4 linked regions of the Lepisosteus oculatus genome follow. The protein of the gene in region 1 interacts with the protein of each later gene in a pairwise test. Links are inferred from orthologs where the notes say so. Each region holds a gene or a part of one and is shown on either strand. Other genes may lie near its edges.

Region 1 (6,912 bases):
AGACATTCAAGCAAGCTGACCCATACACAGCCTGATGAAGCTCAGGTGATTAATGCAAAAGGGGGATAGGATAGTTTTGATTTGCTTCACTGGCTGCACTGTATGCAGCCGATTGCCGTTCTGAAGGAGAAGGCTGCGAAGGATGTTTCAAAAGGATACTTGGAGCTACCCATTTATAGAGGTTATGGAATACTCTAGCTAATTAAAAGAATGAACTGTGATCCGCAGAAAGCACTTCTAATTATCTTTACTTAATAAGGCTTTGTTTTAGATTTGGTTTTGGCAGCAAAACGAAAAAGTGGCATCACAGCGCTAAACAGGAATTTACAGTACAGGAAACAGCATAAAAAATGTGTAACATCGATAAAATATACAAAATAAAACTGAACAGGAATGACTGGGCTTGGAAAGATCATGGGACCTACAAATACAATTGAATCAGATGAACACAAAAAAACACCAGCCTATCTAATTGTTAATGACTGGATTGAAGCCTTTAAGTGATTATTAAAAACTAGTCACTTCAAATGCAAATACAGTGAATATGTCTAACAAATACATTAGCTAGACTGTTTACTGGATGTTCTATGAAAGCTTTTTGACATTTGAGATCTATAAAAACAGATCAATGATCGTGACTCTGGTATATTTGTAGGTGGTAACAGTAACATTGAAGTAACATTGATAAATATGCAGATGATGCAAAAGTAGGTGGAGTTGAAAATAAATTTCAACAATGCAAGTCATTTTTGAGGCACTATTTGGATAATCTGAGGCACTATCTGGAGAATGTTTAGGTACCTGTCAAAAGAAATTCAAACTAGATAAATGCAAGTTTGTGCAGACAGCTATAATGTATTGTCTAAGTAAAGAAAATTGTAGGTGGTAATGGACAAGAAGCGAAGGAATGAATGGAAAATATCTCAGATTCATGTTGACTCAATACTTATATATTCTAGAGAGTGCAGTAAAAATAGCAAAAGCAATAGTAAAATGGCTGGTAAAAATTTGGGTAATATACTGTAGTTAAAGGCATGTAATGTACCATGTAAATTTAAGGTCTCACTTTGAATATTTTGTTCAATTCTGCACACTGTAGAAAAATATTGCTATTCTAGATGCGGTAAAAAAGGACTACGTCGTGGTCTGGAAGGAATGTCATACTTGGAGTGATTAAGAGAGCTGTTTAATTCAGGTGTTCAAAAAGCTGAAAGGAATTGACCAAGTCAGTACAGGGAACTGTACGTCTTCAAGATTACCAACATTGTAAGGAACCTGGGACACAAGTGGAAATTAACTTCAGGAGCATATTGGACAGAAAAGTGAAGACACTCCTTTACATAGGGGAACTTGGGAGCCTGGTACAAGCTCCCTTGCCAAAATATTGAAGCTGAGCCTGTGGGATTTCTCGATGGAATTCTTGGCTCCTTATGCTACTGGCATCCAAATGTTGAGAATGGGTCGAATGGCCTCCTGGCATTAGTAACCTTTCTCATGTTATTACGTCTCTGCAGAGTTTCTTCTTAGAAGAAGAAGAACAAAGTCCAGCACAAAATGAATGTTCAATGTGATATCAAAAGCAGAATTGAATGCACATCACCAGATAAGAGCTCAGCACCATCGGCACATCACAGAGAATATTTTAGGAAGGAGATTCAAGCAGACACCAGTGAGGAATGGGGAACTGCTCAGAAGTGAAATCAAAGTTCAGATAATGTTGGAGTTAAAACATTTATACTTCATGAGGAATAATGTCATCCAGGAATCAGATGATTTATGAATGTTGATTGAGTAGTTCAAGTATAATAAATGACTTGGTATAGTATAATTACCCACCTGGTAAAGGAGCAGCCCAATGGCCATAAACATAGAAGACTCAGGATGCCATTTCAGGGGATTTAACCAGCAGAAAGGTGAAAATGGGATAGAGGAGAGACACATGAGACACAATGCAAAATACAGTACATCTTTCAAAGTAAAAATTGAGTGTGATAAGTAGGAAACATTGGGAAAAGATTACGATTTAACCTAGGTGAGATGGACTTCTTGTAATCCCTACTAAACGTCACTTATGAATTTCCATATGATATGCTGTATAGCACATTATACTGAGATAAAATAGCACAAATACTGTAAAACTACAGAGCAATTACCGTAAGCTGCAGTAAGGAGCAGCAGTTAGGATTGTGAAAGAGAAGGTCATATAGTACAGTATGTTCAAGTCCTAGGAGCAATGCTGCTGTAACACACTTGTGCTGACTGTACTGTGTGAACAAAACTCAAGAATGCGGGAGTCCATTATGTAGAAGAGGAATTAAGTCGCAACTGAATAAAAAGTGAATGTGCTTTTCCACCAGTAGATGAGGGAGAAATAGCAAGCCGGAGGTGGAATATTGCATTTCCCAAAAATCTTGATGATATTGTCCGTGGCTTGATTGTCTCTGTGGTAACTTGCTTTTACAGTATGTGCCACAGTGGAATAGTGCAAACAGCTACAGCTACATGTTCAACAGCCTAGGCTGGACAGAAAGACCCATTAGAGAACTGAGAAGATTAACAACAGAGTGTGGAGGACATCGTTTTGAGTCTTTTTCAGGAGTCTGTTATATACAGTAGCTCACTCTCCTGAAAGTGATCAGCATCATCTATACTGTGACCTTCTGTATACTTTGATGTGCTCCATTGTATAGGATAGCAGTGATTGATTTTAGCTAGCTAATTGAAGAAATTAGGAATGATTAAAGAGGAAAGATTAAAGAACAGCAGTGTTTTCTGCAGTACTGCACTGTACTGTATGTCCCATCACCTCGTGCACCTTACAATCTTAAAACAAACTGCCTTTTCCATGCACAACAGAGAAGTCAGGATTCAAAATATTGAATAAGGGACACTGAACAGCCATCTAGCTAAGTCACATGCCTGCCCTCTTTATCTTTAGTCTCTTTTCCACAAAAAAACTTCGTCTCTTAACAACATGCACTGACAGAAAACGCATGTAAATCTTAAAGAACCTACAGTATCTGGTTTCAAAATGTTTCTTTTTTGTTTAGCTGAACATGTTTTCAGATTTATCTTCCTCTGAAGGGGTTTAAAATACTACACACTTATACAGTACTGTATCGCTTGTTCGACCATTCATACTGTATTCGTGTACAGTATGTTTACACAAACAGCCAATACATTGATACTGGATCGATATGAGCCACGTTCTTTATCAACTCAAGAGGATATCTGAGCACCTGCTATAAAGAATGACTAAAGTGTTTTAATTTGATCGAATCCAGAGACAACGGAAAAAGCACCACTCAATATTGTAAATCAACATTATATTTACATAATCAAAGTGACACAGTATTTCAGCTTCTTAGTGTTGATATTTTACTTCGGGAAAAAAATACTTTCGTACGGATATTTTTTTTACGTTTCCGTGTCGACATTAATAAATCTTTTATTTATGTACAGCCTCACTTGCGTTCATTCATTCGTTTCGATGTATCCAGAAATAGATTGAAACGCTGCAATAAAGTCCAACGCATGACATATCCGAAGTTATACCTTTAGGTTGTAATAATTAGTCATTATTTTAAAAAAAAGACGATTACGTATAGTACGAATTATTTCAAAACATCTGATTTAATCTGAAAGGTTATTTTAAAGAGGGAATAATTTCCGCTCACTTACAAGCTAGTATATTTTGAGTAACAAAATGGTAACCGCTACTACTCATAACGAAACAAATAGAAATTTGATTTCCCAAGTGCTACATCTGCACAGCATAGTTTGCGATCCAATGACAACTATTTGTCTTGACGTCTCTTTGTTAAGGACAACAACAGTAAACTATAAGTAGATGAACAGATTTCGTATTTTTTAAGGCTGGCAAAACTTCGGTATCATGTGTTATAGGCTATTCTGCAGCTCTCGCTCGTCTCTCCGCTCATGCGCATTGAATGGTGTCTGAGCAATTTGTCAGTACTCGTGAGAGAATTTGGGTAAGAAACAGACAAATTTAAACAACAATACTTTTAAATCAATATGTTTGTGCAACAAATTCTTCCCTACAGTTAGGTGTACGGGACTATCTTTTACTTTCGTTTTAGGTTTGCCGCATTTTAATTAGCCTGAAACTTAGAAATAAAGTACAAATCGACTGGACGTGTCATCAATAATTTTAGCCAGGAAGAGGATTGAGTGTGATAGAGCATGAAATGAATTACACAATAAAATTACAATAAAAGTAGCCCAGAAAATTATTGCTTACGATGGAAGTCATTGTTGGCTCCCATTGTATTTTGCAGGAGACGACAATTTTATGATTTATTTGAACTCTTTGAAGAATAATGCCAGTTTTAGAGCAATTCCTTCCTCTGGGTGAGAAACAGCAGAAACTGGGCGCTGGGAGCAAGAGATAAAGAGGGCAAGAGATAAATATTTAAGCCACCATTTCTTTTCATTAGGCTTTATAGTAAGTAAAATTATATTTTTTTGTTTGAATGCAACGTGTCTAAGGGCCTGTGGATGAGAATTATATAGAGTATATTCCAGTTCCGCCATTTTGGGAAACTGCCTTTAAAAACACATTAAATAGTATCAGAGAAAAGAAAAGTGTTTATCAGCTACGGACCTCAGTTCAATGCATGATACGCGTCTTGCGTGGGCATGGACATCGGTAAATATGAAGCTCCTAGTTTCGCAAGTGAAAAGAAACAAAGTAATTTAATATTAAACTTGCGCTGAACTGTGTCTTATTCACCGAAAAAAGAAAAGTATTTGAGGAAGAGATCTAAAAATAAGTATAAAAAAATCCCCAATATCGAGGAAAGGAAATTGACAGCAAGATGAAAAGGAATACATGAACATGAAGTGTTTGTCTTTCGCTTATGCGTTAATTATAATAATGATTACCTTAATTATAAAATACATGAGTAATTTTATTATATTTGTCAGTTTTTGTGATGACAGTTTTTTTATTCTCTTCATTTTGGTTTTGCGTTACGTATCTCACACCTTTACCGTGAAATGAAATGAAGTCTGTTGAATTCGTGATCTATGGCCGTTATTGTTCCTGTACTGTACGTATTGTAATAAAACGCCTTGAGAAAGCGCGAAGAAAATGTAGATACTTTCAATATCATTAATGAAAACACATAAATCTAATAGAAGACTTCGACTTAGTTAGATATTGCTGTTAGTATTATTTTTTTTCATAGTTGAAGCAAATTTTAGCACGTTGTTCGCATATTATGAACCGTATATATGATAAATTGCATAACTGAAATTACTAAATAAAGGTGTAACGCACAAGTAATGGATAACCTTATGAATTTTATTGCTGTTTGATGAAAACAATCTTTTATGTATCATGAATTATGGTCTATAATATAGAACATTTGTCTCCATTTTTTCATTGTCATTTCATTGTTAAATTAGCTCTCGAAAGTTTCAAGCGCAGAATTATATTAACCTGGGCAATGGTGACCTCTAGCGGTGATAAATGCCAGCGTTTAGGTAATTTTGTCCTTTTAGATGAGCTGTTCTGCACCCATCATTAACAGGTTTGAATATACGTTATTATATACAAAAAAAATCATTGTCTCATTTCCCTCGAAAAAAAGGAAGAATTAAATTTTAACCTAAGGAATAGGACTAATTAGCATGAAAATGTGACATCAGAAAACTATACAAATCCAATTTATCCATCCATCTGTTTTGTAAACACTTTGTTCAGTTCAGGGTGACAGGGGAGCCAGAGCCTATAGCAGCAAACAATGGGCACAAGGCAGGATACACCCTGGATGGGACACCAGTCCATCACAGGGCACTCGTACACACTGACAATCACACCAGGGCCAATTTTCCCAGAAGCCAATTGACCTATCAGAACAGGATGGCTTTGGACTGTGGGAGGAATACAGAGGAGCCTATGATTGTGGCGGAGGCACATAACAACAATTAAACATTATTCCCTTGTAAATAACAAATAGAAAATTATAGATTTAAATCTAAAGACAGGCTGGGTTAAAAAAATCCCTGCATTTGTTTCATAAATTATTTAAATTGTGTTTTAATTGTGTAAAGCCTACACTATTTGCAGTTTTTGTCTTACTTCGCAAAATTAAAAACATGTTTACGATTAATTGCATAAGACCTAGAAAGAAGTTTTGTGAATACAGCGGCGCTTGGCATTGGTGCGATTTCACCTTTCTGTGCTGAGGGATCCAGGTCCCATTGTGATCTGTGGGAAGAGGCTGTTCATTTCCCAAATGGTGCTTTTCAGGGTGCTGTACTTTTTTAAAAGATATGGAAGAATCGCCTGCGAGTCTAGGAGCTCAAGACTTTGATGTTTACAGTGCAATGGACTGGAAAGATGGAGTTGGAACTCTTCTAGGAAGTGAGCTGAAGGTGAGACTGTCGGGACATCCAATTCAGAATGCCTAGTTTTTTTTAACTCTTGGATTTTGAATGCTTCGTTTTATCTAGTCTTCCTTTATTGAAGCATAATAAGTAACAATCATTTACTGAATGTTGTACAAATGTATGAATGGGAAGAAATATTTTGGCATTGTCTGTCAGAGACCAGGCAGGGACAATGCTAACCAGTGCAAGCAAATAAAACTGATAAAGGAGATCTAGCAGGTACGTCAAGGCCCTTGTGAAAGTTGAGATGGGTCACTGTAACAAGGAAATTACTAAAAGCAATGATGAACTCCTGGTCCATGTTATATTCTACTTACACATTAGCTCAGAATATATTTTCCCAGGAGGTGCTGTAGCAGCTTCAGATAAAGGGTCAGCCATAAGCAATTTCATAGTTTTACGTTTTTTTTAAATACAGTTCTCCGAAGACGTCTCATTTTTATGAACACAAAGGGACACATTTTCAGTACAATGAGTACTGTGTGATCAATGGTC
Region 2 (7,089 bases), on another chromosome or scaffold:
AGAACATTAAGTATGGTTTGTCATGTTATTTCTCAATGCCTTATTAAGCAATTATAGACCACAAGACTAAGACTACCATGTTTTTTTGTTAAAAATCTACAAGATTAATTTAAACTACCTTCCTGGAGTCTTTAATTTAGCATTCTGAAAATATTTGTGGAACATTAGTTATTACTGCAAATTTATTTTGGTGGTGAATATTACATGATTATGATCAGAAAATGCCTGGTTTATAAAGTTTTTGAATTGGTCTCACTGCTCTATCTTAAAACAATCATGGTTGCAGTATAAAAAGGCAACAGAAATCAATTCACTGACTTAATGTAAGGTACAAACCTGGTTAATATTAAAGGCAGAAGAGTCTACTGAGATCTCTGGTTTGCCTATTACGTCCCATGCAATATTCTCATTAGACTATGATAAGTACTATTAATGTATAAAACTGGAACATCAGGATTGCTCATTTGAGAGCAGATCTCCTGCCGTCTCTTGACATGAAGCATGATAGAAGCCAAAGACAACACACCTCGCTTTTCTGTGAGAACTATCAATATTTAATAAAACAAAAAACAGAAGGAGAAAGACATTGTAAAAAAATTGTTACACTCAAACCCTTAGCTCAGCTTCAAACATCTTCTACAAAACAGCCTGGCTGTTTCAGAAAAGCAATTAAACATGCTCAGAGAACCAGCATCCTGCTTGTGAATCCACATCCCCTCCAAATAAATATGCTGTGCATCCTCAACAGAGAAAATACAGAATATGATATCTTTCTAAAATGTAAAAAAAGTACTGTGTAGACCAAATAGAAAACAGAAAACAGTGATTTACAAAATTGCTTGATAGACTCCCCAGGGTTCAGTGTTATCTTAGATACCAGGCTATTTTTTCTCTTCTTGTGCTTTTATCTAATTCCTGCTTTCCCCTGGTCCTGAAAACTCACACAGCATGTTAAGGACATCCAGATTGCAGCCTATAATCTTCCATGGGTTAGCAATACAGTACATGTCCTAAATAATTTAAAGTTACTGATGTAACCATTTCATACAATTGATCTCACTTTTTTATATTGAAGACTCATGCTATTTATTTTTTACCTTACCCTTATAGTGAAGGACAAGTCCATTATAGGAAAAAGGATAAATAATATGTCTGTATTAATTCTTCTCCTGCCCCAACAACAACCAAGCAAAGTCTAAAACTTAAACAAAAAGCAAAGAAATGTCAAGTTTGCCTCTTATGGATCTCTATGTTTTGTGGACTGTTGTGACCACATGGGGACTAGATCAATACACTAATGGCTAAGATGTATGTGATAAAGTAACGGGTGCCTGAAAATTTCTTGGAGTTTATAGTTTTGGGAAAGGTATAGCAAAAGTTATTAAAAACTCCATTAAATCACTGATGAGATTTCAATTGCTTATATCCCCAAGTTTTATTAACATGTACTGTAGTTTGGATTTTCAGCAATATAGATAATGCAGAATCCCTACATTTGAGCACATTAAAACCAGAATCAGAGAAGCACGTAATCACACTAGAACATAAATCTTTTATAGATAAGTCTACTCCTCTAATTACCGTATTTCAAAAGTTGACCGGTCCAGACCTCAGACTCGGCCATTAAAAATCTTACTATTCTTGAAATACGCTGTTTGCTTCTCTTTAAAGTGGTTTCCAAGGTCAAGCTGGGATGCATTCCAAATTCCAACCTACAGGTGGCTGCACTTGCTGGTTTGTCTAGGCAGTGCTGATAATTCACATTGAGAAATATTGCAGACATATTAGCGTGAAACGCTGAAAATGAAAAAAATGAGTTGTCGTTTAAAAAACACTTGGTACTTTTGATCATGAAAAAGTAGTGTTGCTCGTGCTTTGTACTCTCATGAATGGTTCGAATTTCCAGCTTTAATAGAAATGGACATTTTTAGTTTTAATTATTGCAGCTGCAAACTATTGTGGTTGCCTTATTACCGGACAACAGTCTCCTAAATTACTTTCCCTCACTCTGTCGAACCTTAACATTGACCTAGCAAACAATAATTACCATTTTAACTTGAACCAGGAGAGCACTAATTCTAGTAGTAACATGCCAGAGTGGATCTTGTATTCTTTGGTTCTTTTGGTCATATTATTTTAAAATCCAGAAAAAACCGTTTGGCAACAGATGCAGTTTACTCGTATCAACTAAACGAATTTACTAAAATGCCATTTTTAAAGTTAAAATTTAGCCATTTTTAAAATATCCTCATAGATTGGCGTGCGTAAAGGTTAAAGAAACAAGGTCAGAATTACAAGCCGACAACACAGTTATCAACTCTGGTTTCCTTAAGAATAAAATGCTGCGTACATTTTACATCGGTTTAACATAATATTTGATATGGTCATTACCAAAGTGTGATGATTTTTCTCAATATTGCGCTGTCAAAGCAATGATTGTATATACCTTACAAAATACTGCATTCGCATTTATTGTTACTGCATGTCAGAAAACAGGATTTTTGATTTACTACTGCTTCCTAAGCATGAACTGCACACCATAATATTTACAAGCGTTTAACAAGACTGCTCTCTGCATTGATGACAGAATTCGGGATTTTTTAAAACACTCCCCATTCTTCAGTTATATTTACGAAATAAGCGTTCGCCGTTCTTAGACTGCTCCCATACACTGTCAAGACACTGCTACGCCGTTTGCGTAGTGTCCACCTGCAATGGTTTAACATTCACAGTCAAGGCAGAGGAGAAAGACATTTACAGTCTGTCGGAAGCTGTAGCAGTTTCTTAACAAAATAAAAAAAAACACTTAACTCTTCACTTTTCCGAAAGTGCCGACTCCAAGGGTGTCTCCTAATATGTAGTGTCCTATTTTAACCCTGCCTTCGTGTTTCTGCTTCTCAGCCATTTTTGCATTTGTGATCCTTCTGTAGTTTTACCCAGAGTGCAGAGGGAGGCGAAGAGTACTGTACAACGCACACTACACCAAGCACGCGAAAGAAGTCAGACACCAGACAGCGCAATGCTGTTTATGGTGATTGTCAGTCTTCTGGCGAGAGACATGGGGGGAGGATGGCGGCAGCCTATTAACTCTTCCCCACAATTCGAAATGTGTGTCTGAAATGCCTGTGTATTTACCTGTTATTGGGAAAGAAATATTCTTAATTCTTTACACGCTAAAACCCTAATCCCGCTAGAATCACGGTGGCTGCACTTCAAGGACATTTCTACAGTATGCAGTGTGTCACATTCTTGTCTTTTTGGAGATACTATAATGTTTGATTGTTGTCTTTGATAACAGCATTAAAGTTGTTGCTGTTAGGAACTGACGACGTACTAGGTATTCTAGTGTACTGAAAGGTAGCTCTTCTTATGTACCATAGCAAATAAATACTGTATATGCCAGAAAATTTTAAATTTATTATATACTGCAGCGAACGACCCTGCGGCTCTGGAGGCTGCAGACAGAGTACTCAGTTTAAACAAAAGGGGTTTATTGCCCTTTAGATTACAGTATGTGTGCTAGTCACTAGGGGAGAGAGAGTGGTGTCCCGCAGTCTCCGGTAGCAATACATGGCGAAATAGAAGATTTATATAATATGATACATGTGTACTGTATACAGATGCAGTCAGGGTCAAGGTTGAGAGGGAAAAGGGAAAATCCAATACAGGTGGGAGCGGAATGCTACACTACATAAATGTGAACACTAGGTGGAGATGTACGATTTCTGTCGTTCTTATATAGTTCCAGTAATAATAATAATAATAATAATAATAATAATAATAATAATAATAATAATAATAATAATTGCTTACACTTAATTTTGCTTCTTTTCAGCCATTCTTTTTGGATCATTGTCTTGCTGCATGACCCAACTACATTTCAGCTTCAGCTTACGGACAGATGACTGGACATTCTCCTTAAGAATTTTCTAATACAAAGCAGAATTCACGGTTCCTTCAATTATGGCAAGTAATCCAGGTCCTGAGGCAGCAAGGCATCCCCACTCCATCACACTACCGACACCATGTTTGACTGTTGGTATGACGTTCTTACTGTGGAATATTGTGTTTGCTTTACGCCAGACATAATGGGACCCATGTCATCCAAAAAGTTCCACTTTTGACTTATCTGTCCATAGAACACTCTCCCAAAAGGCTTGGGGATCATCCAGGTGCTTCTTGGCAAATGAGAGACAAGCATTTATGTTCTTCTTGGTTAGCAGTGGTTTCTGCCTTGCTGCTTTCCCATGAAGCCCATTTTTGCCCAGTCTCTTTCTAATTGTGGAGTGATGAAAACTGACCTTAGCTGAGGCAAGAGAAGCCAGCAGTTCTTTGAATGTTTTTTTAGGATCCTTTGTGATTTCCTGAATGATTTTACACTGCGCCTTTGGAGAAATTTTGGCAGGCTAGCCACTCCTAAGAAGATTCACAACTGTTCCAAGTGTTCTCCATTTGGAGTTTACGGCTCTCACTGTGAGTCCCAGAGACTTTGTAACCCTTTCCACACTGATAGATATCAACAACTTTTTTCTGATTTCTTCAGGAATTTCCTGTGGTCGTGGCATAAGGTGCTTGTTGAATCTTTGTGCTGGCAACTTGACTCTGTTAGTAAGGGTCAAAATAAGTGAGGTTTATATTGAGCAGGGCTGGCTGTAATCAAGCCTGGCTGTATTCAATCAGCTGACTCTAAATTATCATTTTAATTGGGTTGATTTAACTAAGGGGGCAAGTACTTTTTCACACAGTGCCAGTTGGTGTAGGATAACTTCAGTGTCAAAAATGTGCAATAATAGAGGAAATCAATAAGGGGGCAAATACGGCACCGTACCTACACACTACATACTTATGCACTTCCATTTTACTCATTTAATGTATTGGTACTGTGTTTGCAATCTTATTCTTTTGGCATCTATTGAGTCAATCTTTAATGTGAATTGCAGGTTGTGAATGCTTATCACCTGAGAGTTCCTGTAACAGGAAATTAAAGCCTTCAGCTTTATCAGGTGGACAATCGCAGTTACCTGTTGGACTTTAAGAGCATTGACGGTAAGGAAAACAAAGGTACTGCTCATCTTCAGCTATGTCATGCTAATAAATCACACTGGAGACATGTTTATACACAAAGTAGTATGGCATTTGCAGTGCTTCACATACTTCTGAATATTATCTTAGCTATGTCCCTCTGTGCAGCTCAACCAGAAAGGCACTTAAGCTGTAGACTGAGTGTTTTCACTTGTCCACAAGGGATTTCACAGCCCGAATAACTCTGAGGGAAGTGTGGGATTAGTCAGTCGGGGTTCTCGGCTCTTGGTGGAACAGCACCTCCTGTAGCTTGAGTGCAGGAATGCAGTGCTGTCAGCGAGGGATGATCCTCTCTCTAATTGGCACCGAACCTCCTGAACTGTGGTGCCTGTGACATTAAAACACAAGTGGCTCGAAGCTGAGCAGGTCAGCTGACATTTCTTCCCCTCTGCATGTGCAAGAATGGTAACTGTGAGCTGACACTTGGAAAAGCACAATTCGCCATTCAAATTCATTTAGGATTAATAATAATAATAATAATAATAATTGGTTACACTTATATAGCGCTTTTCTGGACACTCCACTCAAAGCGCTTTACAGGTAATGGGGACTCCCCTCCACCACCACCAATGTGCAGCATCCACCAGTAGAAGGTAAAATGTCCAACAGCCCAACTGCTTCCAAAATACTAAGATAACACAACAGAAGTCAACAATAGGTTCTTGTTTGTCTGTTGAAGATTGAATTGATTCTCAGTGTTGTTTAGCAAAAAATCATAATCACTTTCAACATCCACTTATCCAGTTTAGGGTCACAGATATACCCTGGATGGAACATCAGTCTATCACAGAGGACACAAAGATGCAGAGCTATTTTCACACCATTTTTTATAGAACAATCAGTTTATTATTAATTTGATTAAATTAGTTAAAGGACAAGATTTGTACTAATGTGCTCTTCTGATTTGTTACCTCTATTGTAAATTGTTTTGTGATGTCCTAACAGGAAAGGCACAATATAAAAATTATTAAATTGTGCATTTTAATTAAAACTTTCCAAATGAAACTAAAAATTAACTTAGGCTGTGAGCAGGTCAGCTCTGTGTAATATCTGAGGTACTGTTTACTCTGAGAGGCAGAGAGATGTGACCTTAACTGAAATTTTACAGCCACCTTGCCACTTGAAGAAGCAGGAGAAGGTCCTGTCCACCAGCTAGATTGAAGACTTCATTTGAGTCTTGTCAGAAGTACTGTATACTGCTGTGCAGCATTGTTTGTAAATTTCTGGTAACTGTACTTCTATCATTATCATTATTCATTTTTGTTAGTAATGTTGATGCTGTTGTCCATGTGTTCAAGTACATATATTATAGTAAATTCAGTACAATTTGGTCCAAGTACAGTTAAAGTTATCCATAGACAGACATCTTGTAAAATGCTACGATGACCTGGTCTAAATTGATTCACCTTTAATATCTAGTAAAGTATTCACCACATTGCACAGAAATTAAATTAATATGTTAATTGATTAGTTGGAAGGTACAAACAAGTAAGAAAATTCATAGTTTATTGTCCAACCAAGGTTATTTTATGCTTGTATTTTTAAAACTTTCTAAAAATACACCATTACCCTGACATTGATAATGTTAAGTATTTGTACAAATGTATTTTTAGTAGGTGATCCGCAGGTGAAATAGCTACTACCGAACAAGGTAAATGGGCTAAATGGACTGTTCTTATTAGCCACTATCCAGGTATTGATTTTTATGTTTGCTTATTGCAAATGTTATTGTCCCCATTTAATCACAAAGCATTTGTAGCATTTATTTTACTTTACTTGCAATGATTACTTTACAACAAACAAAAATGGATAAATCTGTTTAAATATATCATTAGAAAAGATGTTTTGCTGAATAATTCACCTGAGTGCTTACCATCTTACATTCTTTTCCTCTTGTGAAACAGCTTATTGGAAAAGAAAGATAATCCACAACAAATTCCTCTTAAATGAGTGTGGTTAATTTCTTAGAAGTCTGTTTTTTCTTTTCATGATCTTTTTTTTAAACTT
Region 3 (7,368 bases), on another chromosome or scaffold:
TTACATAAGGGGTTCACTATCACGATCCCAGAGGCCCACATACCTGCCGGTTTTTGTTTCCTGCCAAGCTCCCACTTACTCAATTTAAAACACTTAATTGACTTAAGAATAGGATGACTTTGAACTGACTGACTGTTTTCAGCTCTTACACATGTTGGGTCTGCCTTTTTACCATTTCATGAGTCAAGTAAAAACTCAAACAATGGAGTGAAACAACTCACGAATCAAGAAACATGTAACGTCAATTAAGGCTTCAATAAGGTGTAAAGCTGAACTGGAACGAAAACCACTCGGTGTGTGAGGATATCCCAGACTAGAACGTGGAACCATGGCTCTATATACTGTACAGTAACAGGTAAGACCAGATAAGACATGGATGAGATTCCAAACCTTATTAATGTGGTCCACAAATTCTGGGCTGGACAAGCACTCTTGGGGTGAGCTGTAGGGAGTGTTGTAGTGAAACAGGCCGAGCAATTCTGGGTCCAGCTCAAATAACCTGTCAGTGAAATACAGAGAGAATCGATATTCATACGTGTGTACAGGATATTTGTTTAAGAAAGGAAGAGCTGAAGGTACAGTAGCAGTCTATTCAAAAACTTAAATCAGATATACCCTGTACTCTTGTAATCACTTTCATTCCTCATCCATTTCCTTCTGCAAGTCATAATTAAATGTTGTTCTGGTTTTGAAGTGAGATAATCAATATTTCATCTCAGGTAGGGAATTGTTTTTGCATCAAAGGAAACAGATCCTACAGCCTTCTCCCGGACCCACCGTTCACATGACAAAATCCAACAAAATATTATTTCACCGCAGCAAGACAACTTGTTGCTGTCTGTCTAACACACACGTCTCCTCCAGCAGCAGAAGATAAATGAGGACCTCACTGTCGCCAAGCAACGAGCAAAGCCTCCGGCTCCTGTACAGCTGCACCATGTCTCTGCCTGAAACCTGTGTGTGCCTGTGGGGGAGTGTCTGGGCTGTGCAGGCCTCTTGCAACTTTCTTCATTCTGTCTCATTTTAAATCGCTGCTGCTACTTCCCTTGTGAACTGCAGGCAGTGTCGCAGTCTTTTACATTTTGCGCTCAAGCTCTTCTTTGCTCCTTTACTTTGGAGTAAATGAGATGTGCAAATGCCAGAGCTACTCACAGGGTAAGCAGCTCCCTTGCAAATTCTGTTTTTTCTAAATACAGTAGTTACCAATATACTCTATACCTAGATCGAGCCTGGTTTAACACACATGACAAACAGCTGTGTGTCATTGCTAGACTGCCATTCATAGGTTTGGCTCTAGAAGAAATGGCCAGAGCAGCCTAAATTGTCCTTAGGCTAGGGACCAGATAAAACCTGATTCCTCTCACGATCACAACTAACTTCTAATCAATACAATGCTACGCCTGAAATCCAAGAAAGGATTTTTTTTCTTAGCTCACTTCTACCCAATTTATTTTCTATGCTAGCACTCTAACAAAACTGTCAATACTGTTCGATTTTCCTACTAAAAACCGTAAGGAGACTATTTGGCACACTGATAAAATTACCTCTATAAAACAGAAAAATACTCTTCTAATCAGAAACCCATTTCGAATGTAGAAAATGCCAGTTTTGAGCCTCAGACTGGAATTCTGAATGCTAGCCAAGGGAGCATAACAACACATTATAGTAAACTCTTTCACAAAGCTGCTCCTACAACTGTCATATCCTTCTGTTATCTGTCTGTCAATTCTCCACCTGTGGGTCTTCGCAGCCCATATGTTAAATGTGAAAGAAAGAGATATTGGACATTGTACAAAGAATATATGACAATACCTCATTCCGATATCCATAGAAAGATTTAAAAAAGCATTTCCACAATCTTACACTGTACAGTAAGTAAGCACATCTACAAAAGAACACATTTTAAGAGATAAGCAGTTGTAAGGCTCAAACACAAAATCAGTTGTGTGCATTTAGGAAGGTTCTCGTCAAAATGTAGTATTTTAAATAGACAGGAGGTTAGCTTTTTTTTAAATATGTTATGGTTTCTGGACTGCAGTCCATTGGAACACTGCAACTGGCTTTTATATGGTGTAACTCTGTCCAACATAGTTTTTTGGGGTATGATCAAACCACTTTCTTTAAACTTGTTCTCTTTACATTATGCATACCAGATTTGCTCTAGCTGTGGATGTGCAAAGCTGGTCCCTGCAGTGTAGTATGAACCAGGACTGTTCCTGTCAGTCTGGAATATGGACAAGTACCTGGTAAACATGATGGTCCCATGAGTGAGTTTGTTCTTCCCGAGTCTCTCCCAGCTGTCTCTGATCATTTCCTTGTCTTTCGCTGTCAATTTCTCCATCGTCAGGTTGCTTCTGAATTTCAGCTCACCGTGTCTTCAGTTCTCCTCCACTTGCCGCTGAATCTGAGAAGATCTTTCAGCTTCCAGACCCATAATATTCTGGCAGAAAGCTTCAGGGATTTTTTGTTTTTCTGTGAAAACAACAAAACACCTTGTTATTCCAGCAACCATCATATTGATCTTTAAAGCATAACAGAGCACAGATTCATTGTTGAAAAGTGTACATCTAGTTTCCTTGAAAATACCACATTAAAGTAATGTTTAATTGAAAAATGCTAGATCAAAAGTATTTTTCTTCTCATATTCTAAATTTTAAACCCTGGTTGCAGTGTAGAGATGGAACTATACCTTTGGCAGTGAATGTTGGAAAATAAAACCCTCCTCTCAGAGATGTTAGAGGCTGATTTGGAGTGCTGCCCACTGTCTGTCTCGGGCTCAAGAGTCAGAGGGAGATCAGCCCCAGTGTTATCTGCCAGCCTGACTGCTACCTTCCTCTCTATCGCTCTGCCTTTGTTCCGTCTTCAGCGAGAGATTTTTCCTCCCCAGAGCATCTGTCAGTCTGCAGCTCCTCCTGCAGGAGACTGTGCTCTGGCCCTGTGCTCGCGGCAGCACTGCCTGCTCTCCCTCCCAGCCGGCACAGGAGACCACTGTCACATGGCCCCTGGCGCCGAGACGCACTGACACCCTCCCGGCGTGTCAGCCTGTTCCGGCAACTTTGGCCGCGTTTGTTTCCGCGTGTGACAAAAGCTGCTTCGCCAAGAGAGATGCTAGGCGAAGATGCTCAAAAAAGAAGCAGAACCCTTTCGGCCAACAGCGAGGTGAATCTCCCACTGCACCTTGGAAAGGGTCTCCAGGAGATCCCTCCTATGCATTTGCAATGCTCTGATGTCTTGTTTCTCCTTTCCAAATTCCAATGCCAGGCCATACCTGTCACCCCGAAACACAAAGGTTACAGCTGTGGTGGGCAAATTTGTATCCAGCAAACTGCCCAGTTACAAAATTCTGCAAATTATTTATTGAAATGACCAAATTATTGTTTCTGGGGACTCTCTTTTGTCTCTTTGAAGATCTTTCTCTTCTAACGCTCAAATGGAACATTATATAACTCAGATGAAAGGCGAGCCACTTTGCCTTCAGGCAGTTGTCAAACTGGCAGGTGATGACAGTTCAATCAGTTTGGCTCTCCTTGAAAGACTAGTTCCAGAAATGACCACTGACTTCAAGCACTGTTAATGTACAAGGCTTTTACAATACTATTAACAACAATCAGGCCCAATAAAATCCCTCTCTGTGCTTACCCAAGTTAGTGGTCAAAGCAACATATTAACATTATTATCTTTTATTATTTAAGATATAGTTTCTGATTAAAGGCCATTGTCAGCTTTATTTTTTTTTATTAGGAATATGACTGTAGATATCGCATATCTAACAAAGGCACTTTGGTTGATGCTACTACTATTATAAGATGCATAAAATCTTCATATTTATTGTTATTTTATTATATATTTTTTCACAACTGCTAGACAGAAGTCTATCAATCCAATAATGAAAAGAAAGTTAATTTTAATGTTTACGGAGGAAGCTGCCAAATTAGATCATCAATGCAGAAGATCCTGAGCTTTTCAAAGCTTATCTTACTTCTAGATATAATAAATAGAATTCATCACATTCATACAGAACTTTTTATCCTGAAGGATCACAATTTACTTTACAGGAAGGAGTACACTTCATCCACCTCTGATTTTCTGTGACACTAGGCAGCCATTTTGCACCAGAAGCTCCACTACACAACCGATCAGGCAGAGTAGGGAGAGAAATTATTTCACCACGTTGAATTAAGGCTAAACTTTTGGAAGGCCAGATTGTGGAAGCCCAGAGCAGAATTTAGCCAGGACAACAGGGTTAACACCCCTCTTACAGAAGTACAATGACATCTATAATTATCAAGTGATCGGTGTCCCAGTCTAACATTTCATCTGAACGGCTGCACCTCCAACAGCGCAGTGTGCCCATATTAAGACATATTGGGGACTGACCTAGAAATTCTGGCCAGAGAAAAGACTGCCACCTGCTGGTTCACCACTGCAGTTCTTGTCTCCCACCACAGCACTGCCGAGGTCCAGCCTGGTTTAGCCTCTCAGGGCAGATCAGATCAGACCAGAACAGGGATCCAGCCCAGGTCCTGGGAGAAACCTATATCTGCTGGTTTTCACTTCAGCTGAATTGTTCATTGCTGGTGCCCATCAAATGAATTGAAGTGTTTTGTTCCAACAACCTTAGTTTACAGAAATCCATGTTGTCTCTCTTCAACTTTTTTATTACTCACTTATTACTACGTCTTAGTAGGAGATAAGTTAATGCCCAACAGGCACAGTTGAGCATGAGACATCAAACACTCCCACTGTGAGTTTTGTTTTCCTTATACAGAGGTCCACTTGGTTACATTTGAGCTAACCTGCCTGAATGAGGGAAAATGTTTGAGAGGAATCCCAATTCAGTGTTGTAAGAGCTGAAATCAAATTTTAAAAGAATGCCTCAAGTAGAAAATTGAAATCAATTAGCCTGTGATTAAAAATTAAGGCTGGAACAAAAACTGGAGGACACAGGGTCCCAAGAACCGGACTGGGAAACCATGGGCTACACTAGATGGTGGCAACACTGTGGTCATCTATTCCTCAGGACAGACATTGAACTTTGCTAGCAGACTTGTGTCTAAGGCCAGTCACAGAGATAAAGCAGAAAACCACTTAACAGTAACAGCTCCAGCAGAACCATTTTCAAAAGCCCTCAAAATTTTAATCCTCACATTTGAAGGATGGAGCCTAATATAACTTCTTACTCCTAGTGACGAACTGTGAGTCAGTGGAAGTTCTAGGCTTTGTAAAGGGAACTATGTTTTTTCCTTAAACACTCTGGATCGCCTTGCCCAATTACCCATAGTTCAATACTACTGAATATTGAATTAACGAAATTATAATAAAATAGAGATTGCATTATTTGGTACATTTTTATTATGCGGTTGCAATGGAAAACGGAAGACATTAATCTCTCAATCTGTACTTGAGAGATTGGTGGATATTATAATGCTAACAACTGAAACAGCGGCAATAACATTAAATCTGCGATGCTGCCCTTTTCATCATAGAGCTATGTTAAACGGAACACGAACGATAACCATTGTACTGACCATTTACGGTGTACAAATATATAAAAAAATAACCTTTCTACTGTTTAACATTTCTGTCATATCATTATTTTAAAGTCAACGACTAATATGCCCATTCCTGTCATGCAGGTGCTACCAAGAATTTGCCTACCGTGGTTTTTGAAACAGGCTGTTAGCGCCTACCTACAGTACAAACCAACTGGTTAAACACGTTTGTTAAAAAAACAAGCTCAGGCCGCCGTCGCTTGTCCCAATCGGGCCCCCGTAGAGGGGAAATATTTGACACACGTTTGTGTATAAACAGAAAGGGGGAAAAGAACATTTAGCAAAACAGAAAACTTCGGAAAACAACAAAGAAAAAACACGCAGGCAGCCTGAAAACAAGAAAAAGTGTGTGAGTAGATCGTCAAAAACGCTTTGCAGGGATTTCTAATTCAAAGAAATCACGAACGTAGTTACCAAAACAAGACATATGCAGGCGGATATTCCTTTTTTAAGGAAATGGGCCTGGTACGGGCTCTTTTGTCAATTAATTACCGTTAGTTAGTATGTTTATGATATTCATATTAGCTTAGCAAGAATCAGTGCTACGTTTAGTTAACTTAACGATATTTAAGTATTATTTACAAATACTAAGAATTTTAAAACAATGCTCCACTTACTGCGTTGTTCCACTTGCTATTTGTGGAAATAACTACACTAGTAATTTTTATGTAAAGTGCAGTATTCGTATATTATTTCTGTAAAAAGTTTCAAAATAAATATTAAACCTAACTTTTCCTCCTTTTACTTTTTGCCGTAAACCTATTTTTCTATTTGGCAGGAATGATTAAAAAAAGGTCGCCTAGTTGTTCTCGCATGAATAATGTTTCATTTGGAAACTTCTGAGTTTGGGTTATCGAACATTTAAATTGATTTGTTTGCTTGTAGTTTTCAGGAATATTTCGGTGCTTGAATTGTAGAACAAGACGAGAACTTAGCATGGAACATGTCTCAGTTCTCCTGTAATGTAGCCTTCCTGTTTTAGACACTTGGTTGAATTTAACCTATGGGCTTACGTTCAGTGTCTGATAACATATGATTAATTGATGAGAAGAGTCGTTAAGAAAGCTGAAGTAGAGCAACTTGTAACAGAGTTATTCTTGCTATATATTTTGGGAAATGTAAAAATAAAGGAGATTATTAATATGACTAAGTCCTAAGAGCAGGAAACCGCTTAAGCTCGATTGGTAAAATTAAAAGTTATGTTGGAATAAAGGCCAAGACAGGAAAATATTCTGCTTTAGTCCAATCGATTGCAATTGTTTGCTTTGTGAATTAAAGTAAAAATGTTATAGTGTGAAATGTCTGTGTTTTCCACCACTGTCTACTTAACAACATTAATACAAATTCTTTAATTATTTTTTAATTGTTGTCTCCCTGTTTAGTTATGACAACAGGCAGATGAAACTAAGGATAAGAAAGACTACCTCCAATCCATGACCACATGAAAAGGATTTTATTTTGGTAATTCGTGTAGATTTTAAATGATCTCTTTTAATGTTAATTAAAAATCTGTTTTTAAGATCATTAAGAAAAAAGGTAGATAAAAAACTTTCTTGGAGAAGTCTGAATGGATTAATTTGAATTGTAAGAAGTTAGAGAGGGTATATTTGCATCTATCTCTACAGAATTGAAAATAAGAAACCTAAAACTGTATTTTTAGTGTCTGAAAAATTATTCTTTTTTGGAGTCAAGACATTTTCATATTTTATTGCAGATCTCCAAGGTTGAATCCATGCTCTCTGATGAACTGGACTCCAAGCCTGAGGTATGTAGAAGTGAAGAAAAAATCATAATTCTTCCTACAAAATAGATTGTC
Region 4 (7,810 bases), on another chromosome or scaffold:
AAAACAGGTTTGTCATTCTGGTTGACACCCAGCATTTGCTGGATTTTAATTCAGTTGAGTCTTCAATTTAAAACCATTAATCCAACTACTAATTTGTTTCCTTGGCTATAATCTGTCCTGGTGCCCCTGTAGTATATATATTCCCAGTATCTCTGGGCCTCTGTACTCTTATTATAATCTGTTGTCTCAATGACTATGAGCTCCAGGAATATGCTCTTTAAAGTTTCTCTATCACAATAAAGTGATAGATAGTGATAAGTCTTACCTGTGGAGAACACAACAATAGAAATGAAGGCATACAAAATAATTTAAGATTTTGTTATGAAGGACATTACAGTACATTAAAATATTTGATGCTTTTTTAGAGTGAGGAATGTAAGGTGTATACCTTACTTATACTAGTCTTAATACAAATATGTGGGATTATCTAACCCGTGTGCCTCCCTTCTATAGCATTCACATGTGTAGCAGTATGTGTGTGCAGCGCAACACAGATGTCAGCTCTGTGACAGGAACAGTACCATGCTGTACGTGTATGTGATGGCTTGGGTGTTCTTGGCCTGGTGTGCCAGTCGGATGGCCTGGTGCAGAATCCTGTTTGCAGCCTCCAGCTCCCCCTGCATGATGCTCAGCTGAAAAACACAATGGAGTGATCAGCAAAGCACTGGAAGCTGCAGGTCAGTACTGTCAGCTAGGAGAATCTTATTCCCAAAGCCTGGTTGTCGTTGTAAGACGTCTGTCTCTTAGAGCAGTGACAAACCCCTTGACAATCCAGAATTTCAATCCATTCACACCCAATGTAAAAGCAGTCTAGATTTTCAAACAGGTTGAAATGATCAGGTATGGTGTGGATTTAAAACCTAGAATGATGGTGTTGGGGGGCACAAGACATGAAAAATGCTGGCTTATAGCACTGAAACACTTTTTAACATGAACTGCTGAACTGCACAAACATGTTCCCCAGCTTATCTGGGGAAGCACTGGGCACTAGGCAAGGTACATCCTGAGTGAGACACCTGACCTTGCTGCATCTCAAACTTTGTTTAAAACATAATAAATCCAATTATCCTTGTATGTATTGATGACACTCAATTGTCCCAGGCACAGAATACAATATAAATATAAGTAGCAACAGTAATTCAAATACACAATTTCTCCATCACAATGAGCTTTGTTTAGTCACTTTCACAATTTTCCATCTACACAAATTAAAAATGCAGGACTGTTTACTAGGGATGACAGAGAAGGGGTGAAGAATTACTTTGAACAGATAAGTTAACTGGAAAGGTGATGTCAGTCAAACATGCTTCATATATTAATGTTGATAAAACCAAGGTACTGGCTACTGACAGTACAGTAATTGTTAAATTTTCAACCTCTCTCCCTTATTAAACAGCCTGGAGAGGCTGTTCAGTGTTTCAAATACCTAGAAATAGTAATAGATGAGCATTTTAACTGATCTGCATTTTTAAGAATGCTAGTCAGCATATATTTTTGATCATGAAGCTGAAAGTGTTTGGGGTGAGTCAAAGCACTTTAGAGAGCATTTATAGAATGCTAGTGGACAGCATCCTTACTTTTGGCATCACAGTGTGGTATGGTAGCCTGGGTATTAAGAGTAAAAGGAAATTGACCAGAATTGTTAATACTGCTAGTAAAATTATTGGTCGACCAGAAAAGAGCAGAGAAAAAGTTAAATCAGATGTATTATATTGCAGTTTAAATTCAAGTTTAATTTATTATTATGATAATTAATGACCCCTCCCACTCTCTTCTTTCCAATTTTCAACAGCTACTGTACCTTCAAGGAGGGTTTTTTTAAAGGCCTATGGCCATAACAAATGTATACAGGAAATATTTTGTCCTATGTGCAATTGGTATATAATAATAATAATAATATATATATATATCCACCATTCTGGATAGACAATAATATCAAGATAAACCTATCCTGACCACAGGACATAGAGCTGTACCCTCCTTTAGATCTCCCACAGAGTGAAAAATGTCCTGATGGCTTTGACATTTCTCCACCATCTTTTTGAAGAGATATCAAATGGACACAAAACCCCCCAACACGTCATCGAATGAAATAAAAACAAACAGGATTGTGTACCTAAATACCTTTGCTCTCTTAAGAAGCAGAATAATGTCGTCCTCTTTCTTCTTTTCTTCATCTTCAACGTTATCGGAGGATTGGGTGAAAAGAGAGAACGCTGAAAGAAAACGGAGAGACATTAAGTACAAACCCTTCCTCTCCAAATTCAAAGAATACTGCGCTTCAACTTGTGCAAGTTTTGCTTTGCTCAAAACAAGGTTCAAGAGGGGCTCCAGTTGTTGCACATCTTTAAGACTCGTAGTCATATTTTATCATTTATAAAGCAAGCTGCTATAGAAATATTAAGGCTAAAACTACTTCTGAATCAGGGAAAGTCTAATAGACTAGTATTCTAGTATTAAGAATCGTAACCACAAGACGACAAAACGAATACAAACCGATCTTCAATAACAAATTATATTTTTAAAATCCTGTTTTAATTACTATAAAGCTCCTCTATATAAAATAAATATCCATGAGCAGTCTTCTATCTAAAGAACAACATGCTCTGCTTTTTATAGCCTAGTACTGTACATATATACGGCAAGCATACTCCTTACATAGAGCTTGTTACATAAAACATTGCATAACAAAAATAAAATCTCACTTGCCTAAAATTCCCCAAATTTGTAAAGTCAGACTGTCGTCACTAGCAGTTTTAGCACCAATACCAGTAGTACAGAGTGTGTATGACCTTCTGTACTGCGTTGGAGCTGCAAGTGACAGAAATCTGTCTTGTCGGTTCGGTGCGCGCCTCTCTACAGAGACCCGGAACCGAGCACCCTGGGTTCGTGTCCAATCCAGTGCCCAGCGTCGAGCTCTAGCTGCCTGGACCTGGAACAGACGTGAAACCCGACTCAAAAACATCCCGGTACGCAGGCAAACGTTAAAATGCACTTAGTTGGCTATCACGTGATGGGGAAAGTACGGTGTCTCTACTGTCATATGACTATAAACGCTTAAATAGCCAGTTCTTATTTTACCGCACCTATAACGACTACTCCAGTTTATTGAAATTATCATTTTAATTCAATTTTCTGTGTGTTTTCCTTGATTCTATGTAAGTCAATTGTAGTAGTGTATATAATGTGTTTTATCGCTCATCAGAAACGAAGCCCTTGTGGTCTTTAAAAGTGCTACGGCAGACAATGGTGTCTGGGATCACTAAGAGCTTCAAAACAGAGGGACGAATCGCACGTGTAACCCAGGCTTTGTTGAATAACACACCTACCCTTTATCTCCTAAGGGTAACTTTGGACAAAACTAAGCTGGAGCTGGACAGAAAATGTACAAGAAATAACCATGGGGAGCTTTCAATCAGGTCTTAAAAGTTACCGAAAGAATAAATCTAGGGTCCAGAAAGCGTATAGTAAAAACTAAAGTTTAACAAACGTAGAGCAAAACGACGAAGCAGTGAATAAAAACACTTCTTTTCTTTGTTCAGAATGAAAACTAAACAGCGGACAAAGGTTGAAATTACAATAGGACATCACAAAGTAAAAAAAAAACATCAGCAAAGGAATGCTTTTAGATTCTCCAGTTTCTTTTTGAAGGTCCTGCTGTAGCAATCTTACCATGGTCATTGTAATTGCTATTAGGTCTAAATATTTCAAATCAAAAGTTATGGGTGATATGGTGGTGTGATGTATAGCAAAGCACTGGGGCCCTAGGTTCAATTTCTAGGGTGGTATCTGTGTGGCGTTTACAGTATGCTCCCTCTGTTCATGTGTTTTCCCTCCAGGTGCTCCGATTTCCTCCAGCTGTCCAAAGACCTGCTGGTGGGTTGATTGGCTTCTGTTAAATTTGCCCTGGTGTGAGTTTCAAACCCAACCCATGTCTCCAGGTTTCCATTTGTAATTACTTTTCAAAATGTTTGTTTTTCAGCTTGAAGTTGTGTGTTTAATTGTGCAAAGATTAAACCAGAATTTATTTTACATGTCCTTATATCAGGCTATAAGGCCACAAAATGTGTTACTTTGGAAAAGTGTAGACTTTCACTTAGAACTGAATCTGGAAGTGCATTTAAAATAAAGAGAGGAGGCTCTTTGTTACACATGAGGTCATAATATACAGTATTGCATGCTGTTTTTAACAGATGACCATTAATAGTCGACACATCCACCCTTAACCTACCATTTTGTCAGAGGATGGGGCTACGCTGAAGTACTTCAAGTTAATGACTTGAAGTGAATATGAAGTGAATCATTGGTTTTCAAAAAAAGAAAAAGAAGGGTAAGGGGGTGAAGGTAACAGAGAATTAAAAGTTTAATTGTGGCAAAACATTATTAATTTAGCTACTTGCAAGGACAGACAGTAAAGACCATCTTTTCTTATCCTGTATATTAAGTATATAATTAACATTATTATGCTTAAACAGCAGTGCTGGTACGTAAGTGTACAATAAGCTGGGATTGTTGATAGGCGCTCAGATAAACTATGTGGCATCAGGACTGATTTTGTTTAACTGCTTATGTTGCAGGTGGTGCAGTGGTTAGCATTGATGCATTGCAGTGCTGAGGTCCCGGGTTCAATTCTAGGCCTCGTGTGCTGTCTGTGTGGAGTTTTCATGTTCTCCCAGTGCTCTTGTGTGTTTCCTCCCACAGTCCACAAATGTACTGATAGGTTAATTGACTCCTGGTCTGAGTATTTGTGTACTGAGTAATATGTAATTAAGTAATATGTGCCTTGATGGACTTCTGTCCCGTACAATCATCTACTTCGTGATAATATCGTAATTATGATCTTCTCTGTGATAATAGTTCTTTTAACAGGTACCATGAATAAGAAATCAGTAAACACTTTGAAGAAGTAGAATTTATCATTCAAAAACTTTAATTTGCTTATTTTTTAAATGTATAGATGAGAGAAAAATGCAGAACAGTTTTCACTAAAAACCCTTAATAAATTTCCAAAGTTTATTTGGAAAATAAACTTAATTTGAATAACATTTATTTAGAACAACAGACCATTACTTAAATTGAAAGAGACACTTTTAGACCATTTTTCAGATTGCCAAGGACATATAGTGACAACAATACTAATTCTTGGCAAAAGTCAGTTTTCATGATGTATACAGTAAATGTGGTTAGAATGAGAATAAAGTCAGTCCTAGACAATTTATCATGTGAAGAAAAAAGTATAATCTCTAATGTTTTTTTTTCATTTTGTAGATACTCTCTTTAATAATTAGATACAAAACACTGCTCATAAATTTAAATCATGCTATAGATTTGCTATAGATTAGATTTGTCCAAGACTGGGTTATTTTTAGCATCACAATCTCCATTTATTATTATAAAATGGTATTGGGAGAAATGTATGTAATTTAAATCTAGTGCATTAATGGCATAAACCAAAGCAAAAGCAAATTTGATGCCATTGAATACACAGTGTATATATAAAATGTCTACATCTGTTTGCCTTAGGTCTGTACAGCACTAATTAAGTCACTTAGTTTTGTTTGTAGCAGAAGAATATGCTGAAGCCTGGACGTACATGTCTTTATAGTTAAGGTGTGATAATTGTATTAAGGCAAATGATGTCCTTTTACAATGTAAAAACATCCAAATATTTAGTACCATTATGGAATTTCAGTCTTGGACTTTGCAATTAATATTTTCCATTATTGTGCCTTGAAATAGTAGATTAAAGATATTATAAAATCTATTATTTCAATGCACCAATCAACTTGTGTCTATTAACCAGATCTTAGTATAAACATAATTTCCCCAATTCTCTCTTAAGTGGACCTTTATCAAAAGTGATCTGAAAGTAGTTATTCACCCAACTGTTAACTACAATTGTCTGCTATGAACCTGAATGTGACCGATACAGGACCCTCACTGTCTAGCAAGATGAGCAGGTATTCTCTTGGGAGATACCCTGCTGTGTACTGCAAAATCCAGTCACAGTCGGCTTCCTTCAACGCTCTTGTGTTGCTTCATCTTTTGGCACGGTGAACAAGATGATTGAATTTCTGTTGTAGCGTTAATTTGCCACAGGCACCGAAATATTATATTGCTGCCATCTTGAACATTTAATGCCATTTTGTACAAAATGACAGTATCAGTTCTCTTCTGGTTCACAATATTTTAGACACAGAAGAGAAAAGGACCACTTACCAGGCTCCCAGAGATTGAAATAAAAAAACATCAAGGATTTAATGTTGCCTTATCCAAACATTTTTCCTTACTTTTTGTTTAACCACTTCTGACACGTGTGGAAATGAGCAACTTGTGGGGAAGGAGGCAATGCATAAGGCAGAAAATCTGCAGTACAAATATATTTGGCAATTGCTTCATTTTGAGGAAAATAAGTGAATTTTATCAATTTCTATATGGTTTTAGAATTACATTTAACACTTTGCTCCTTGCAGTTTTAAGATCATTCAGTGTTCTTTATCATGCTTCTTTTATGCCAATTTTTCAATGTATGTCATTTTGTTTTCATCCTCTCAAAGGATTACATTTTCCCTTAAACACCTTTCTTCCTCTTTTACAGCTGTTGTGCTCTTTTACTGAGAAACATTTGAACACCTACTGCAATCCTCTTCCTTCCCCTGAACTCTTCTCACACCTTTTCTGACTTTCATGCTTTATTAATATAACATTGAAAAGAAAAGTAATAAAGGCCACAGGACAAAAAATCCAAATCCATGCTAGAATGAAAAAAATATTTCTTTTCCACACTTTAATTGTAATTTGCATAATGTGCACATTTGTTCACAGTAACTGCCATGGGGAGTGGATTTTTCTCCAGAGATGTCCTTAGACCACTGAAGTCCTTCTGTCCACCCAAATGATCTTTTTGTTACTAATACTTCAACAATATTAGGCAGTTACTCAAATAAATGTTTATTTCTAATGTCTTCAAATCATTCTGATACAGAATACAACAGACAGAGAGGCCAGCTCACAATGGGCACTGTTTCTCTCACTTGGTCTCACCTTTTCTTTCCATCCATTTTATTCTTAACTAAAAAACTGAAATGCGAAGTATAATGCTTGGAGAGGGTGAGACCTGCTATTTCCCCAAACCACCTATACACCATCTGTAAAAACTGTGTTTTACACTGAATGTATAATGTAGTCAGTGTGTCACTATTCACCGGTCAGTCTGCGCATCAGTGTTCAGTGCAGTATTGTTCAGCAGTTCCACCAGCAGTGCTATGAGCTCAGTATATTGCATCTTTATGTTGGGAGGCAGTGAGCAGGGCTCCCCCTGCAGGCAGTGCTGCACCATGGCATGCAGGGATAAGCGCAGGCCATGCAGAAGCTCCCAGCTCTGCAGCGACACTTCACAGCGGACCAGAGATGAGCCTGCCAGAGACACTTCCACACTGTCCTCCGCCACTGCAGACAGGGAGAGAGAAAGTGACAGAGAGAGGGATCAGCACAGAGATGGGGCAGGGTGGTGTTAATGGTGAGAGGTGGGGAGAGCGAGACACTGTACCTCGCTCAGTTATGTGCCCGTCAGCCAGCAGCAGCAGGGAAAGGGGGTGCACTGTGGAAGAGTCTCTGATGAAGACATTGCCATTGGATTTGACAGCTGTGAAGAAGGTGAGCCAGCGGGTGGGGAAGTCCTCCGCATTCCTGTAGAAAGGGACCAACAGAGCTGACAGGATATAGATCACAAGTAACACTACCTATGAAATACGATCCTAAAATATAAGCAACCACGACCCTTTACAACTGCTCCTTAACCAACATGTGA

Evidence for each region.
Region 2: the proteins of l3mbtl3 (region 1) and prkaa2 interact in binary tests that used the Homo sapiens proteins (3 or more experiments, as listed by UniProt). The two-hybrid records come from large-scale screens. The link is inferred for Lepisosteus oculatus from reciprocal best matches to the Homo sapiens genes L3MBTL3 and PRKAA2.
Region 3: the proteins of l3mbtl3 (region 1) and ngb interact in binary tests that used the Homo sapiens proteins (3 or more experiments, as listed by UniProt). The two-hybrid records come from large-scale screens. The link is inferred for Lepisosteus oculatus from reciprocal best matches to the Homo sapiens genes L3MBTL3 and NGB.
Region 4: the proteins of l3mbtl3 (region 1) and ttc19 interact in binary tests that used the Homo sapiens proteins (3 or more experiments, as listed by UniProt). The two-hybrid records come from large-scale screens. The link is inferred for Lepisosteus oculatus from reciprocal best matches to the Homo sapiens genes L3MBTL3 and TTC19.

The regions. Positions count from the first base shown.
Region 1 is NC_090697.1:3,078,763-3,085,674, reverse strand, and holds the start of l3mbtl3 (lethal(3)malignant brain tumor-like protein 3), read left to right. Parts: upstream 1-3,892; 5' UTR 3,893-3,992; intron 3,993-4,189; exon of another isoform or gene 4,190-4,465; intron 4,466-6,277; 5' UTR 6,278-6,300; coding exon 6,301-6,402; intron 6,403-6,912. UniProt on the Homo sapiens protein: Is a negative regulator of Notch target genes expression, required for RBPJ-mediated transcriptional repression. It recruits KDM1A to Notch-responsive elements and promotes KDM1A-mediated H3K4me demethylation.
Region 2 is NC_090704.1:17,352,630-17,359,718, reverse strand, and holds the start of prkaa2 (5'-AMP-activated protein kinase catalytic subunit alpha-2), read right to left. Parts: upstream 3,005-7,089; 5' UTR 2,906-3,004; coding exon 2,812-2,905; intron 1-2,811. UniProt on the Homo sapiens protein: Catalytic subunit of AMP-activated protein kinase (AMPK), an energy sensor protein kinase that plays a key role in regulating cellular energy metabolism.
Region 3 is NC_090703.1:9,707,475-9,714,842, reverse strand, and holds the start of ngb (neuroglobin), read right to left. Parts: upstream 3,010-7,368; 5' UTR 2,690-3,009; intron 2,473-2,689; 5' UTR 2,342-2,472; coding exon 2,244-2,341; intron 500-2,243; coding exon 391-499; intron 1-390. Other genes in the region: znf410 (zinc finger protein 410), read left to right, coding at 7,285-7,317. UniProt on the Homo sapiens protein: Monomeric globin with a bis-histidyl six-coordinate heme-iron atom through which it can bind dioxygen, carbon monoxide and nitric oxide.
Region 4 is NC_090701.1:26,039,044-26,046,853, reverse strand, and holds the start of ttc19 (tetratricopeptide repeat protein 19, mitochondrial), read right to left. Parts: upstream 3,006-7,810; 5' UTR 2,966-3,005; coding exon 2,710-2,965; intron 2,217-2,709; coding exon 2,125-2,216; intron 633-2,124; coding exon 522-632; intron 1-521. Other genes in the region: ATP-dependent RNA helicase DHX30, read right to left, coding at 7,202-7,449, 7,550-7,689. UniProt on the Homo sapiens protein: Required for the preservation of the structural and functional integrity of mitochondrial respiratory complex III by allowing the physiological turnover of the Rieske protein UQCRFS1.